2 linked regions of the Lonchura striata genome follow. The protein of the gene in region 2 purifies or fractionates together with the protein of the main gene of each other region. This does not show direct contact. Links are inferred from orthologs where the notes say so. Each region holds a gene or a part of one and is shown on either strand. Other genes may lie near its edges.

Region 1 (3,743 bases), on a different chromosome or scaffold from region 2:
GATACTAATCTTGTGACTTTCAGATAATCTCCACAATGTTTGATTTCCTTGTCTACACAAAAGCATTTTCATACTGCTTGCCAGTTCTTCATAAACATTAAAGTTAGGTTTGCCATAGAAGTACTTGCTGAGGCAGGCATTGGTCACAGCCCATGAAGTGCAGAGTATAATTCTGCAGACTTGAAGTAAAAATTCCACATCAATTTATGGCAAATAGGTTGCACTATCATTCTTCACATTAGTCTTCTTGGAACACAAGAAGAATTTTATTACTGTTGATCAGCCGATTTGTTTAGCTTTTTTCAGCTACTTCAAGTCATTTTTGTAGTCACAAACACTCTTATTGACAATCTTACTGCTTAAGAGGCTTCAGATTTTCCATATATATAAAAATCAAGTTAGGACTTCTGTCATAACCTAAGCTTAAGATGACTTCTGTTATCTTAAGCTCTATTTAATTATCTAGCACTGTTTTCTACCATAGCAACTAGATGCAGCCACAGTTCAATTTAAAGCTCTCCTTAGAAAATATTAGGAATTTGTACTAGTTTTGTAAAAAGGCATATTTTTTGACCATTTCTGTTTAAGTCATCCAGGCAGCTGAAGTATTTTGCAGTATTTTGACACCAATATGGAGAAAAGGTGGAGACCACAAGCAGTATCTTGGCTGCCATCAGTCTGCCACATAAGATAGCGGGGGCAGTGACAACAGGAAACTAGATAATTATTAAACCTCCCCTCAAAAGTCCAAGACACATCGGCTGTGTTCACCAGTATTAACTACCTGCCGTTACCTTGCCAAAGCTTAATATAACCTGTTTACTCTGTATGAGGAATCTGTCTTCTTTGACTTGACCTCAAAAACATTAAGAGAAGCATTAACATTTACACCCATGTAAACCTAGTATCTTCTACAATTTTAAGTATAAGGGATAGCAGTTGAATCATCCTGAAACCAAAAGACATGGAGGACACGACTAATGCAAAACTACAGCTTTAAAAAATAGACCCCTTTGGGCAAAATTCAGACAGGCACTTGAGCACTGAGGAGCAATTGCACAGGTGATTTCTTTGCATTTAGTTGTATCCTTACACTTAGCACTTGAAATCCCGGGACTAAATGATATGAAGCTCAAAAGCAGAAAGACATTTAATGAAAAAAAGTATTAAGCACTGGACTAAGAAATATGTGGAGTAAGAAAACACTTGCTGGTCTTCAGGGGGTAAAGAAGAACTATAGTTTCCCTATCATACACTGAAAAGAAGTCAGTAGTCGCAAAGATGTCAAGTACCCATGTTATCAGTCCACATTTCCAGCATTAACCATAAGCAAATGGGGAAAGGTATGTGTCTTATGTTAATGCCGTTCCTAGACACAGCTTTCTGGGGCGAGGGGGATGGGGGGTAAACCCTACTGTCAAGTCCGACAACAACCTGAAGAAGCCAAGCAGGCAACCTCCTCGTGCTTTACAACCCTTTGCAAACTTGAAACAACGGTGACTCAAAGCTCTCCATACGACCCGGCCACCCACATCACAGCCTGAGCAGCAGCCCAGGCTGAGAACACAGGAAGGTGCCGGTTTCGTATCATCCACATCCTCAGCGACCTTCGGAGGGAAACAATGGGGAGCGCCCGGGCACCACAGGGGAGCCCTTCACAGAGCGAGCCCGGGCGCCCCGCCACGGCCTGCGGGGCTGAGGGGGTCCGCCCGGGCAGGGCCGGGCTGCGGGGTAAGGGCGGTCTCCCCTCTCCCCCGCGGCTCCGCACCGCCGCAGCCCCCTCCCCGCCCGGGAGCAGGGCAGGGCGGCATTCCCGGCCGGAGGAGCAACAGGCACCCTGCGGCGGCCCCAGAGCCGGCTGGCAGGGCCGGGAAGGGGAGCCCTGAGTGGCATCATCGCCGGGGGAGGGCTGCTCGGGAACCAGGTGGGGCCACACCGCACCCCGCAACCCCCGGCTGCCCCCGGCAAGGCGCTGCCTCCGTCCAGACACCGAGGCCGCCTACACGGCGGTGGCAAAGGGGGAACATGACCTGAAGAGGGGGAGGAAAAATAAGGCAGGGTAGCTAAAGGCAGGCCCTGTACAGGGAAAAAGCGCCACGGTCCCTCACTCGGGCAACACGGCCAGCGGGAGACGCGGGTGCCCTGCGCAACCTGTCGCGGGAGAGACCACGGGATTCAGCCCGTTCCGGCAAGCCTGGCCGGAGCGAGGTCTGCCCGGGGTCCCAGCATGGGCAGTCTCCATCCGCCCGGGGTCCCAGCACTGGCATTCTCCATCACCCCGGGGAGCTGGGCCGCACACTGGGGCGGGCACAGGTAACTCTGCCCCGGAGGGCCCGGGAGAGGGGGCGGCAGCGCCATCTGCGCGGTATCGCCGGCCAGGCGAGCGGCGGGGCCCGGGCGGCACCTGGGCAGCCGCCGGGTTACATCACCGCCCCTTCCCTCCGTCCGTCCCCCGGGGCGCGGCGGCGCGGCCACATGGCAGGGGGGACACCCGCGCCGCCCGGCACGGGGGCGGGGAGGAGGATGAGGAGGGCGGCTGCCGGGAGGGAGGAAGGTGCAGGCGCCGGGCCGCTCCCAGCCGGCGATGGGAGGGGTCGCGGGGGCTGCACGTCTGGCGCGGCGCGGTGCGCGTTACCTGCCCGGGTGGCTCCCCAGCTCGCGATCGCTCAGCGCCGCCGTGTAAATCCTCCGGTATCTGTCGGCCAGGGCCTTCCCGGAGAGCAGCAGCTGGTAGCGGCTCCGGCAGCCCGGCGGCGGCGCGGGCAGGGCTCCCAGCCCGCCGGCCGAGCCCTCCTCGGGCCCCATAGCCGGGGCGGCGCCGCCGGAGGAGAAGGAGTAGCCGCGTTCGGCCCCGGTGCAGGCGGCGGCGGCTCCCGCAGAGGCGGCGGCGGCTGCGGCGCTGCTCATCCCCCTCCCCGCCCGCCCCCTGCTTGCGGAGGCGCCGCCTCCTGGCGCGGCGCGGACACAGGCGGCTCCCGCTGCCTTCACCGCCGGGGCCCGGCCATGGCGAGGCCGCAGGAGGCGCCGCAGGAGCCGCCCTTCAGGCTGCGCATCCACCCGCGATGCGGGAACACCCCGCTCTTCCCCTCCTCCAGCGGCGGCTCCAGGCCCCAGCTACCCGCCGCTCGCCTTCCGCTCCGGGCACAGCGCCCGCCGCCACCGAGTCCCGGGAAGGACCGTGCACCGCTGGGACTGGGGAGGGGGGGGCGGGCTGCTTGCTTCCCCCTTCCCGCTACAGGGAGTGTGTGTGTGGGGGCGGGGGGCGGAGGCCGGCGGTGCCGCTTCCCCTCCGGAGTTTGTGCTCGGCGCTGCCGCCGCCCTCTCCCCGCACGGCCGCCCCGGCCCCGCCTCCCTCCCGCGGGCAGCGCGGCCGCCGGGCGCATGCGCCGCCCCGCCCGCCCCGCGCGGCCCCCGGGAAATCCGGGATGGGCGGGCGGGAGCAGCACCTGCTGCGCGCGGCCGGGGCGCCGCGGGCCCGGAGCACCGGGCGCGGCCGGGGGACCAGCTCCCACCCCGCGGGGCCGGCCTCCCACCCCGCGGGACCGGCCTCCCACCCCGCGGGACCGGCCTCCCACCCCCGCGGGGCCGGCCTCCCACCCCCGCGGGCACGCCTCCCACCCCCGCGGGGCCGGCCTCCCACCCCGCGGGCACGCCCGAGCGAGGTCGGGCATTCGCACGGAGCTTCTTCTGTGCCCTGATGGGAGTGCGAACCCAGCCTATGACCGAACCATCGCCTTGTCAAT
Region 2 (3,743 bases):
CGTGGGACGTGTACAGCGTGCTGGGCCGGCGGGCGGAGAACACCAGCGAGGTCACGTCCTCCGCCTGCGGGAGCCGCAGCTGAGCCACCGGCGAGCCTTCCCCGTCCCAGAGCGCCAGCTCGCCCCGCTCCGCGCCGGAGGCCACCAGCCCTTCCGCGCTCACGTTCAGGCACAGCACAGAGGAGGAGTGCCCACCGTCCCACTTCACTGCCATGCTTCAGGGACACCCCTGAAACACACAAAAACAAGCCCCGAACTGAGGCGGTTGTTGAGCTCATGACAGAAGAAATTATAAGCAGGAAGATCATCCTGAAACTTCAGCGTGCAGTTAAAACGGGCACCTCGGCAGCTCAGGACAGCTCAGTACCCAAGTGGAGCTTTCGCACAAATACCAACGGCACCAGGCACAGCGGGAGCGCTGACCGGTCTTTTCCAACCTAGATAACACAATGAGACTTTTTAAAAGCAGTATTACTCCTTTAAAACAGGTTGCAACATATTTAATTGCGTCTCAGTACACAGCCATGTGCTCACCAACCTTAACCCTCCCTTGGTGTGACTCCCCGCAGCAGCCTGTGTCACAGCACTGCTTAGGGAAACGCATCAGCAAAAAAATTAAGTGAAGAGCGAAAAAGGGCAGCACGAAAGTGTTGGAGGGACTGGGACGCTGCGGAGAAAAAGAGAGAGGCACACGGGGTTTGTGTGACAGCCCAGCAGCCGCCTCGCTGCCCTAAGGTCCGTGCGTTTATTTAACCACGTTATGTTCTCCGTGTGGTTTTTGCTGACCCAGATCTAAAGAGCAGCCAGAGCCCATTCATTCCACCAGAGGAACTTCGGTCTTGGCGATCAAATAACACTACGGAGAGGGCCGATACCTTCCCCGCAGCTCGCACCGGGGCAGACTCGCGGCCGCCGGTCCCCGGTGGCCCCAGGTGAGTCGTACCCCGCCAACCCCGAGCCCTGCGGCAGCTCGGTCCGACCGCCCCCCGCCGCGGCAGGCCCGGCCCTGCGGCCGCCCCCCGGCCCGCGGGGCGCGGCGCTGCCGGGGCCGCGCCGGGGGGCTCGGGACCCTCCGCCCTCACCTCCGCTCCGCTCCGCTCCGCCGCGCTCCGCTCGCCGCCCCCGGCTCCGCTCGGCGCCGCCGCCGCCCCGCGCCGGCCCCCCGCGCCCGCCGCGCACGCGCGGGGCGGTGCCCGCGGCCGAGATGGCGGCGCCGCGCGCCCCCGCGCCGTGAGGCCTCGGGCGGCCCCGGCGACACCGGGCGGGCGAGGGCAGCGCGGGGGGCGATGGCGGCGGGGCCCGGCCCCGGGCCCGGCCCCGGGGCGGCCGCGGCGTCGTGGGGAGGGCCGGGCTGGCGGCTGCCGGGGCGGGTGCTGGAGCTGGTGTTCTCGTACCTGGAGCTGCGGGAGCTGCGGAGTTGCGCGCTGGTCTGCAAGCTGTGGCACCGCGTCCTGCACGGCGACGAGAACAGCGAGGTGTGGCGCAGCCTGGCCGCCCGCTGCCTGGCCGAGGAGGCCCTGCGCACCGACATCCTCTGCAACGTGCCCACCTACAAGGGCAAGGTGAGGCCGGGACCCCCACCCCGCCGGGACACCCCTCCACCGCCGCCCCCGCAGCCCTCCGGCCCACCCGCCATCGGAAACGAAGGGGGCGGGAGGCCGGGGACCATGGCAGGGTTTTATCTCCTAGAGCCACAATGGTTTGGGTTGGAAGGGACACCTCCCACTAGACCAGGCTGCTCCAAGCCCCGTCCATCTCCCCCACCCGCCTTCTCTCGCCCAGGTCCGTGCCTTCCACCACGCCTTCAGCACCAACGACTGCTCGAGGAACGTGTACATCAAGAAGAACGGCTTCACGCTGCACCGCAACCCCATCGCGCAGAGCACGGACGGGGCGCGCACCAAGATCGGCTTCAGCGAGGGCCGGCACGCCTGGGAGGTGTGGTGGGAGGGCCCGCTGGGCACCGTGGCCGTCATCGGCATCGCCACCAAGCGCGCGGCCATGCAGTGCCAGGGCTACGTGGCCCTGCTGGGCAGCGACGACCAGAGTTGGGGCTGGAACCTGGTGGACAATAACTTGCTGCATAACGGGGAGGTGAACGGCAGCTTCCCCCAGTGCAATAACGCGCCCAAGTACCAGGTGAGGGGGCTCGGCGTGGGCTCTGGGGGGTGCTGGCCATCCCTCGCTGTCCCGGCTGGCTGCTGGATTGCTCCGAAGTGACTCTCGGAGGTCTTTTTGCCTTCCCTGCAGAAGGCAAATGATTCTACCTCGTGAGCCTTTTCCCCTCCTGTCTGGTGTTCAGTGCACCTGACCCTGGGTTGTTCCCACACTATAATCTCACACATTGAGTGTGAAACCTGTGGGTGTCTGCTTAGGCATCGTGGTGCTTTTTTGAATAAAACCTGAAAAGGCTGTTGTAGCTTTCTGAAGTAGCGACTTGCCCCACAGCAAGGTGACTGTCTGAGGGCTTGTACCCCTTTGTTGTCCGGCACGGTGAGCTGAAGTTAGTGCATAGGTGAGAGTCTTCCTGCAAAAACCTGCAGCAGTGCTGATTAGTGATGCTTTGCTCACTGGCCACCTTCCCGTGGGTGACATTTATCTGGAATCTGATGTTCAGATAACTTCAGGGTATTAAAGAGCAGAGGCCAGCCTACCTTTTTGTCCTTAAAGAAGCCTGTCTTGTCATTCTGCCTGCTCACACAGCTGTCTTTTCACTGCTGGATTTGCTCGTGTTACAACTTAAACTGGATCATTGTAATTTCTGTCTCATATTCAGAGAATGGGTTAGAAGTGACTTTAAAAATAATCCAGTCTGACATCCAGTGCTGTGGCTTTGTACTGGCTTACATTCCACTTGTGGCTGAAGATCTGTGTAGTACCTTGCATCTGATGTTCCTAAATTTGTGTGAAAGTTCAAATCAGCGATCCTTTGGTGTATTTTGTGTTTATTAAGACATGTGCAGTGATCTGCTCATAGAAAACATGCTTACAGGAAACACATGTGTGTGTTAGTGTTGACTAGAAGAAATTCCCAGTGCTGCGGCTGGCTGGAGAAGAGTCAAGAGTTTGTGTGGTGCCTGCTGTGCTTGTGGCTGTTTTCTGGGACTTCCATTGATATAACATGTGCTATATAAATGCAGGGAGCTCTGGGCCTGCCTGGATCCGAGGCTCCTGCTGTGGTCAATGCTGGTTTCACTTATGTGTTTGTATGTATATCCTTTCAGGGTTTTTGTTTTACATTTTGTACTGAAATTTTCTTTTATTAAGACACGTGCAGTGGTCTGCTCATAGAAAACGTGCTTGGTGAGGGAACACCTCTGTCAGTGACAAAACCTGTATATTAATCTATTCTGGGATTTTTTTGTAGGTGGCACTTGCCTTTCTTAAACCCATTGTCTTTAAAAATGCTCCTCACAGAGCAGTTGCTGCTCAGTGATATCAGCAGCTGAACACAGAGCTCAGGTAACTTGGAGCCCATTGCAAAGATTCCAAAGCTCTGCAGTATTTCCAAAGCACACAGCACATAGTGCCTGCTCTCAGTGCTCTCACAGGTTCATATGGGAAGGGTCACGTTTATTATCATAAACAGGTGGTGGATGCAGGCTGTCCTGCTTCAGATCATGGTGAAATTGAGAAATTCCTGTCACAAGAGCAATCAGTCATGAGACACAGGACAGCCCTGCTTTATAATTCTCTGCTGTGTTACATTTTGCATTATTTTTGTTTCCATCCGAACATGCTGA

What was found. Proteins that work in one complex are often made in the same cells at the same time.
Region 1: the proteins of FBXO45 (region 2) and MYCBP2 purify together in Homo sapiens (affinity purification with western blotting; 7 studies listed by BioGRID and IntAct, with this or other methods). This does not show direct contact. The link is inferred for Lonchura striata from reciprocal best matches to the Homo sapiens genes FBXO45 and MYCBP2.

Annotation. Positions count from the first base shown.
Region 1 is NC_134604.1:48,875,792-48,879,534, reverse strand, and holds the start of MYCBP2 (E3 ubiquitin-protein ligase MYCBP2), read right to left. Parts: upstream 2,921-3,743; 5' UTR 2,908-2,920; coding exon 2,636-2,907; intron 1-2,635. UniProt on the Homo sapiens protein: Atypical E3 ubiquitin-protein ligase which specifically mediates ubiquitination of threonine and serine residues on target proteins, instead of ubiquitinating lysine residues.
Region 2 is NC_134612.1:5,268,211-5,271,953, forward strand, and holds the start of FBXO45 (F-box/SPRY domain-containing protein 1), read left to right. Parts: upstream 1-1,286; coding exon 1,287-1,562; intron 1,563-1,782; coding exon 1,783-2,139; intron 2,140-3,743. Other genes in the region: WDR53 (WD repeat-containing protein 53), read right to left, coding at 1-214. UniProt on the Homo sapiens protein: Component of E3 ubiquitin ligase complex consisting of FBXO45, MYCBP2 and SKP1. Functions in substrate recognition but also plays an important role in assembly of the complex.